2 linked regions of the Bombyx mori genome follow. The protein of the gene in region 1 purifies or fractionates together with the protein of each later gene. This does not show direct contact. Links are inferred from orthologs where the notes say so. Each region holds a gene or a part of one and is shown on either strand. Other genes may lie near its edges.

What was found. Proteins that work in one complex are often made in the same cells at the same time.
Region 2: the proteins of transcriptional adapter 2B (region 1) and transcription-associated protein 1 purify together in Drosophila melanogaster (affinity purification with western blotting; 4 studies listed by BioGRID, with this or other methods). This does not show direct contact. The link is inferred for Bombyx mori from reciprocal best matches to the Drosophila melanogaster genes Ada2b and Nipped-A.

The regions. Positions count from the first base shown.
Region 1 is NC_085131.1:6,658,563-6,662,917, reverse strand, and holds the start of transcriptional adapter 2B, read left to right. Parts: upstream 1-1,337; 5' UTR 1,338-1,443; coding exon 1,444-1,554; intron 1,555-1,649; coding exon 1,650-1,709; intron 1,710-1,786; coding exon 1,787-1,928; intron 1,929-2,665; exon of another isoform or gene 2,666-3,276; coding exon 3,277-3,494; exon of another isoform or gene 3,495-3,566; coding exon 3,567-3,639; exon of another isoform or gene 3,640-3,962; coding exon 3,963-4,116; exon of another isoform or gene 4,117-4,355. UniProt on the Drosophila melanogaster protein: Component of several Gcn5-containing histone acetyltransferase complexes that regulate nucleosome organization; involved in acetylation of histone H3, particularly on Lys-10 (H3K9ac) and Lys-15 (H3K14ac).
Region 2 is NC_085110.1:5,827,481-5,830,980, forward strand, and holds part of transcription-associated protein 1, read left to right. Parts: intron 1-29; coding exon 30-206; intron 207-851; coding exon 852-1,058; intron 1,059-1,137; coding exon 1,138-1,281; intron 1,282-1,365; coding exon 1,366-1,614; intron 1,615-1,897; coding exon 1,898-2,161; intron 2,162-2,441; coding exon 2,442-2,555; intron 2,556-2,641; coding exon 2,642-2,835; intron 2,836-3,131; coding exon 3,132-3,370; intron 3,371-3,500. UniProt on the Drosophila melanogaster protein: Part of the Tip60 chromatin-remodeling complex which is involved in DNA repair. Upon induction of DNA double-strand breaks, this complex acetylates phosphorylated H2AV in nucleosomes and exchanges it with unmodified H2AV.

The DNA.
Region 1 (4,355 bases):
AAGCACAACTTTACTATAATTTGTAGATTTACTAGGTTGAACCACAAATTTTAAGTTTTAAAGGTACCGAGATATTTAGATGCCTTGCTGTTGTGTTGTAACAATAAAGTTTAATTTTGTATTCATTTATGTATAGATTCTCTGTCTACGCTCAAGCAAGATTTGAGAAAACTTGAATTAAAAACATTTCGCTGTCATATACAACAGAATATAATCTGTAGTAAGTTTTTTTTTTGGGATTTCAGACCTGGTATTTACAACCTTTAGGTCAAATCTGTAGTAAGGTTTTGGAGCTACAGACTAGTTAGAAATTATTTTGGATTTACATGTTCCATTAAGTAGTAGTTTTCTTTTTACCACTTACAGCAACGCTCATAAGGAGCATGTTACTATCACAGATTAATATGCAGTATTATAAGAGAGCTGCTTTTAAACTAGAAATTAACGAATTTCATTGGAATTATCACTATTTGTAAGACTAGTAACAGTTTCCTGGTTCAAATTTAGCTTAGGTCTATATTTTACGTCTATGGTTGCCTGGTAAGTTCGACTATTAATTTGCAAATTATACTGTACATCGTGAATTTTAATATCACCGTCCTTTTCTATACTTGCGTTAGGAAGAGATATTGTAGTAAAAATACGTCTTATCAGACATTCGACAGGAATGATGCGTCTTAGCTTAACGTTAAAAATCTTTTTCACACAGTAATACGGTTTTCTAAATGAGAGCATTAAATTACAAACAAAACAGGATTTTGATTTTGTCGAACTGTCTGTAAACTGTAACTGTAAAAACTGTCTCACACTTCAAACTAGAATGCATGATGGTTTCATGGAAGAAATACACTAATATAAGCCTCTTGTCGATCGCAAGACCTATATTGGTTTATTATTTCTGTGCATCGTTCATTGTTCAGTTTTCTTAGTTGTATTTTGTGACAACAACGGGAAGCGATAGGGTAGTTTTTTTTTCTACCTAAGCCGATAGCCTTGAGAGGCTATGTCAGTCAAACCTAACAAGTAGGTGAGCTCACGGGGCTCAAACCTGACGATTTTGCTAACACTAACCCTAGCAAGAGCAGTGCTTCGCAGAATCTACTACCGGATCGGAAACGCGACCCACTGTGAAGATCCGGCGAGAAACTCGGTGAACTGTGTCTGTGGGTTAATTTTCTCGCCGATGACCGGATAGGGTAGTGTTACTCCAATCTTGCGCTACCAAATTAATTTTCAAATACATAGTAGATTCAAATCTATTCAACATGTTAGAATGCGTAGTTAAGTTTTAGGAAATAAAATATTTTACAAAATATGTTTTATTACTCTGGTAACTCAAAATGTTTGGGAATAAAAAACGTAAAATGGCTTTGGAAATTTGTGCGCTAATCTGAAGCCTGCCAACGTACAAGTTTAAAGTTTGTTTTCACTGTAATAAAAATCATGTCATTTTCAGATCTTTACGCTAAATATAATTGTACATATTGTCAAGAGGAAATAAACGGCGTAAGAGTTAAATGTACTGAATGTGTTGATTTTGATATTTGTTTGCAGGTAAAGTAGTTGATACTGCCATTTTTGTTGATAGTTTTGGCGCAAAATTTAAAATTGTCACTTAGAAATTAATATGCAATAAAATGCATTTTCAGTGTTTTTCTCTTGGTGCTGAAATCGGACAGCACAAAAACGATCATTCATATCAGTTTGTGGTAAGCACTTTATAAACGACTACTGTAATACTATTACAGAAAGTAAATAGATTTTCAAGAGTGTTCTATTTTTCCAGGACTCTGGGGCTTTTGGAATATTTTTAGGACGTAGTAGCTGGTCAGCTAACGAAGAAGTAAGATTATTAGATGCCATAGAACAATTCGGCTTTGGTAACTGGGAGGATATAGCAAAACATATTGAAACAAGAACTCCTGAAGGTAATTTAATGATATAAGCTACTCAGTAATCTGCTGTCTTAGCACTGTGCTTCGGTTCATTTTTCAACATTGGCATCAAACAGCATACATTGCATGCCTTGGCAAAGAATACCTAGTATATGCATACTATTATTTGTAACTTTTTATCTAAATGCAATAACAATTTTCAAAAATAGCTTCTGCAACGAAAAAACATTGTTGAATAAAATATGGTGAATATTTCGAATTTCAATTTTTTTTAAAGCTTCAGCTTTTATATTTGGGTAGACGTGCTTACCGTCTACCTGTTGTTGTTAGGTGGTTACGGGATTCAAGAGATTTCAACTACGTAAATGTTACTAGCCACCTTTAGGCATGATTACTAAGTCTCAGTTTTATAATATCGAGGGGTGAAATGCTATTTGGTATAACGTACATTACCTTAGTAATTAAAGGTATACTTGGTATCAACAGTTCGATGTTTTTAGTTGAATTTCAATTTACGTTTACTCCATTCAAATAGCTGAAGACGTTTTTTGGTTATGATATTTTTTCCAATTTTTAAGCTTTGAATGGCCTTCCTGTAAAGTTGTCAAAAATGTCATTTAAACCGAATAGCCTTTTACTCCCTTGATATAGTAACTTTGCATATTTAATGGTGACAGCATGGTCACAACCATTCAATAATGTATATAAACTCACCACATGCAATGTTAAGACAGGATTTTTTCATGGGCTATGGAAGCTCAAAATATATATTAAACAAGAATAAGAAATATATATTAAACATTTACATTAAATAAATTTTGTTGGGATTAAATTTACATGATGCATATCCTTTATTTTCACAAGTAAAAAAGAATAATTTGGAAATAAATCATCCCATAAGTTCAAATCAACGATTTAACACCAGTACTAAAAATAATAAATAGGGTGAGAAGTAATTATTTAAATCTGTTGAGAATACTTCTAAAAATTGACACCGCAAAAGGACTGACCATGTCAATCTCAGATTCTTTAAGACCTCTGCACTCTTCTAAACTCCTTCCTAAACCTGTAACAGCGATGGAAGCATTGTAAACAAATATACTGAACTGCGACTATAGGTAGAGCAAAGGAGGTTCTGCTTCACATGGTGGCAGTGGTACAGTAGTGCTGAACTTTAGAAAGATTACCAAAGAATTATCATACTATATATAAATTTATTAATTAAATATAATAATAAAAATAAATAATAATCATAATCATCGTTCTTTCCTATTACCCTCTGCTGGGGTGTAGGGCTCGAATCAAATCCTTTCATTTACATCATTGTTATAAGAAAGACAAATAAATAATAATAACAAATAAACATAAATTTCAATTACAGAAGCAAAAGATGAATACATTACTAGGTACCTGGAAGGCACCATAGGCAAAGCAACATGGGGCAATATTGAAAGTACATCTCGCCCATCACTACATTGTGCAGATAAAGATGATGGCCCACTTGGTCCAACTGCAGTGTCTCGACTACCAAACCTAGCTATAACAGTAGACGAAGCAGCACAACTTGGGTATATGCCAAATAGAGATGATTTTGAAAGAGTAAGAATGAATTTTTTGTACTATTTACTATAATAAATTAAAATATTGTTCTACAAAGTGTCGAAATTTCAGGAACATGATCATGAGGCAGAGCAGTTGATCTCAACATTATCATTAAATCCAGAAGATGATGAATTAGATGTTGGTAGGTTATATATAGATATATATTCAATAGATAAGTGGTTTTTGGTTGATAAAATATGTGGTTTTTAATATAATAATATCCTTTTAAAAAAATCATAATAATGACTGATAGACTGCCGACCTTGAGCTTGAAATTTACATATGAATTATTCACTCTGAGACGTCTCTTATTTGATACATATTATGAACAGGCTAGACTAAAAGCTTTATAAGATCTGTATATCTATTTTATGATTTTAAAACGTCTCATAGCTTAGTTAAATACATATAAGATATATATAATAAATAAAAAATGACATATCCCGTTTTTTTTATTTTTTATAGCACTAAAGCTATCACAAGTTGATATATACATCAGAAGACTGAGAGAGAGAACGAGACGAAAAAGATTAGTTAGAGATTTCCAGTTAGTGTCTGTCTTCTTCAACAATCAGAGGAATAAACAGAAGACCCTAGGAAAACTTGCCAAAGAAAAAAAGTATGTACCAATAATATTTTTGAAGTATTTCAAATGTGTAGTATATAGATATGTTATGATTTTCGTGTTTTGACACAATTTAGACAAATATTAAAAAAGACAAACAATATTTAATCTATTCTCAATTTGACCACAGACTATAAGCAAAAAGAAAAGTTTGACAATAAACAAATAATATGCATTCGTGTGTGTGTGTAATGTTTTTATTTTTATTGATTTAATGTATTTTGATGCATAAT
Region 2 (3,500 bases), on another chromosome or scaffold:
GTAGATATGATTAGCAACGTGACGTGCAGGTGTACTACCCGGTGCGGCACGCGCTGGTGGGACACATGGTGGGCGCCATGCAGCGGCTCGGCTTCTCTGCGACCGCCTCGCTGGAGCACCGCCGGCTCGCCGTGGACTTGGCCGAGGTGGTGCTCAAGTGGGACCTGCAGCGCATCCGGGACCACGCACTGCCCGACGACAACATCGTACGTACACTACATCTTCCTGATATGTTCCTAATAACAGATCTCAACTTAACTGATCGTTACATATTTCACTGCCATAAGAACAATAAGAAACAGATCTCTGACAAGTAAAAGTTCTTCCAATTTTTATCGCTAACAGTAAATTGTAAAAAATGTTATTATATAACTTTTTTTTTATTGCTTAGATGGGTGGACGAGCTTACAGCCCACATGGTATTAAGTGGTTACTGGAGCCCATATACATCTACAACGTAAATGCGCCACCCACCTTGAGATATAAGTTCTAAGATCTCAGTATAGTTACAACGGCTGCCCCACCCTTCAAACCGAAACGCATTACTGCTTCATGGCAGAAATAGGCAGGGCTGTGCTACCTACCCGCACAGACTCACAAGAGCTCCTACCACCAGTAAGTAATATGTAATAAGTAAAATGCTATAATTGTTGTTCAGCCTCTAGTTCACTGTGACATGGTTTTGTTTGTGTTTTTACTTGTAAGGCACCACAAAGGCACCACCTGACATACAGAAAATAATGAATTAATAAAGTTTAAACATTGTGATCTACATGGCACGAATTTAACAAGGTTTCTGTAGTGTTTAATATTCTATCCAATAGATTGTTTAATGGATTGTTTGTGGACAGGTGGCGACATCTCCGGGCGGCGCCATGAAGCGCGTGTCGTCCGATGACGCGAGCTCGGAGGGTCGCAAGGCGTTGAACACGGGCTGGGCGAGCCCGCAGGCCAGCGCCTCCAGGCTCGAGCCCGACGCCGCCAAGCCGCTCGACAGACAACACGTAGATGTCGTTGTCAACCTGCTACTGCGACTGGCTTGCCAGGTGTGCCAAACGGTAACCCTCTAGTGTTTTTGAAACAAGCATCCTCCGTCTCTTAATTGAGCCGTTTTTATTTCTGCTCTTCTTTTTTCAGATGAACGAGGGTACCGTTTCCGGAAGCGGAGGTGCGACCGCAGGAGAGCAGCTATCGCGAAGATGCGTTCTTCTTCTTAAGACTGCTCTCAAACCCGACGTTTGGCCACACCTCTGCGAGCCTAAGCTTGCCTGGCTTGATAAAGTATGAACATGTAATTACAGAATACTACAAGAATATTCAAATGACGCCTTTGTTAATTTACAAGTATAAATATTTGCTGCTTAGGTTTTCTCAAGTGCAGAGACAAACGCGGCATCATGCGCCAATGCCTGCACGGCGCTCGAGCTGCTGGTGTTCCTGCTGGGCGTGCTGCGTCGAGATCAGATCCTGGCGGCGCTGAAGCCGCTGCAGCGCGGGCTGGCCGCCTGCGTCGCGTCCACTAATGCCAAAATCGTGCGACTGACGCACAACTTGCTCGCCAAGCTTACCGCCATCTTCCCTACGGAGCCCACGGGGGCCGCGCAAGCTTCTAAGGCGAGTGTCGTCAATATTGAGGTGTGAGGTCAGATCGATACATGCATAATATTCGTGTAGTATTTTAAAAAATGTGAGAGTTTTTTACTCTGTTTCTGCAAATCTCTTATTATCGACGTGCATGGAAGGCGGTAATTTAATTTAGATTAGGTCGCTCCCTATTAACAAAACGTTATATCATTCACACATATTATTATTATTATGCGCTGTGTGATTTATTTATGCAAAAATCGCTATCAAATGGTCTAGTGACGGTCGAGTTTTAATATATTTTCCATTATAGTACGAGGAGCTCGAAACACTATACGCGTGCGTGAGCAAGTACGCGTTCGAGGGTCTGGCGGCGTACGAGAAGACGGCGGGCAGCGGCACGGGCGGCACGTCGGGCGCGGGCGCGCTGCTGGGGCCGCTCATGATGCTGAAGGCGTGCTGCTCCTCCAGCCCCGCCTACATCGACCGCCTGCTGCTCCCGCTCATGCGCGTCCTGCAGCGCATGGCTAGGGACCACGTCGCCACCAACCCCGATGCAGCCATATCCGATTTGTTGGTTCGTATAACTTTATTGCTTTATCTGGACCCTTTAAAAATATAATAGTAGGTGCGTAATCATTTTGCTTATGTCGGCTACGAAACTGTATATCTCGAAACTTATTGTGAAGGAGCTCAATGGTTCCAATTGAGATTTTAACTTCGTCTTAAGACGGGCGACGTTATTCACGTTGTAATATCTAAAAACGTCGATAGCCACTTGAGATCTGTTGGATTGTGTGCAATGTTTTTTTAACGCATTTTCATAATTTCTCTAATACTATATTTCGTCTTTTCAGATATTGGCCTTAGACTTGCTAAAGGCTCGCGTTTCCGTGATGCCGGGCGATACGAAAAAAACCTTCATAGGAACTGTTCTAGTTGGTCTTATCGAAAAGACTACAGATTCTAAGGTAAAATTACTTATCAATTATTCATTTTGTAGTTAACATACAATAAGATTTGCCGTGAATTAGCTTCAATAAATTTTATTTTTTAGGTAATGAAAGCGATCATTCGTATGGTTGAGGAGTGGGTGATGCACCGCGGCGCGACCACTAGCAGCGGGGCCGTACCTTCCCTGCGCGAAAAGTCAATACTGCTCGTGAAACTAATGCAATATGTCGAGAAACGTTTCCCTGACGACCTCGAGCTCAATGCTCAATTTTTAGAACTGATCAACTACGTGTATCGGTAAGTTGATTTACGAATATTATACATACAAAAAATGCTATTTATTTTATGCCGGAACCACACTGCGTTATTCGCTATTCGTTTGCCGGTATTCATATTTGCCTTATTTGGCATAATTCAGCGTACAAATTCGAAGTGTGGATGGCATGTTTGTTGTTTGCGCGCATAACAATTATTTTGGCGAATACGGCGTAGTCACATAACGAATAGCGCATAACGCAGTGTGGTTCCGGCATTATGAAAGTAACAACCTACCTTGGATTAACAGATCCTAATATTTGTATACGATCACGCAGGGATGAACAGCTGAAGGTGACGGAACTATCCATGAAGTTGGAGCCCGCTTTCCTGGCGGGTCTCCGTTGCCCGCAGCCACAGATCCGCGCCAAGTTCTTTGAGGTGTACGACCAGAGCGTGCGGCGGCGCGTGTTCGACCGCCTGCTGTACGTCGTGTGCTCGCAGAACTGGGAGCACATAGGACAACACTTCTGGATTAAACAGTGCCTCGAACTGCTATTGGTCACCTGTGCGCCCAGTAAGTTATTTTGGAGCTTTTTTTTTTGTTTATTGCATAGATGGGTGAACGAGCTTTACAGCCTACCTGGTGTTAATTGGTTACTGGAGCCCATATACATCTACAACATAAATGCTGCCACCTACCTTGA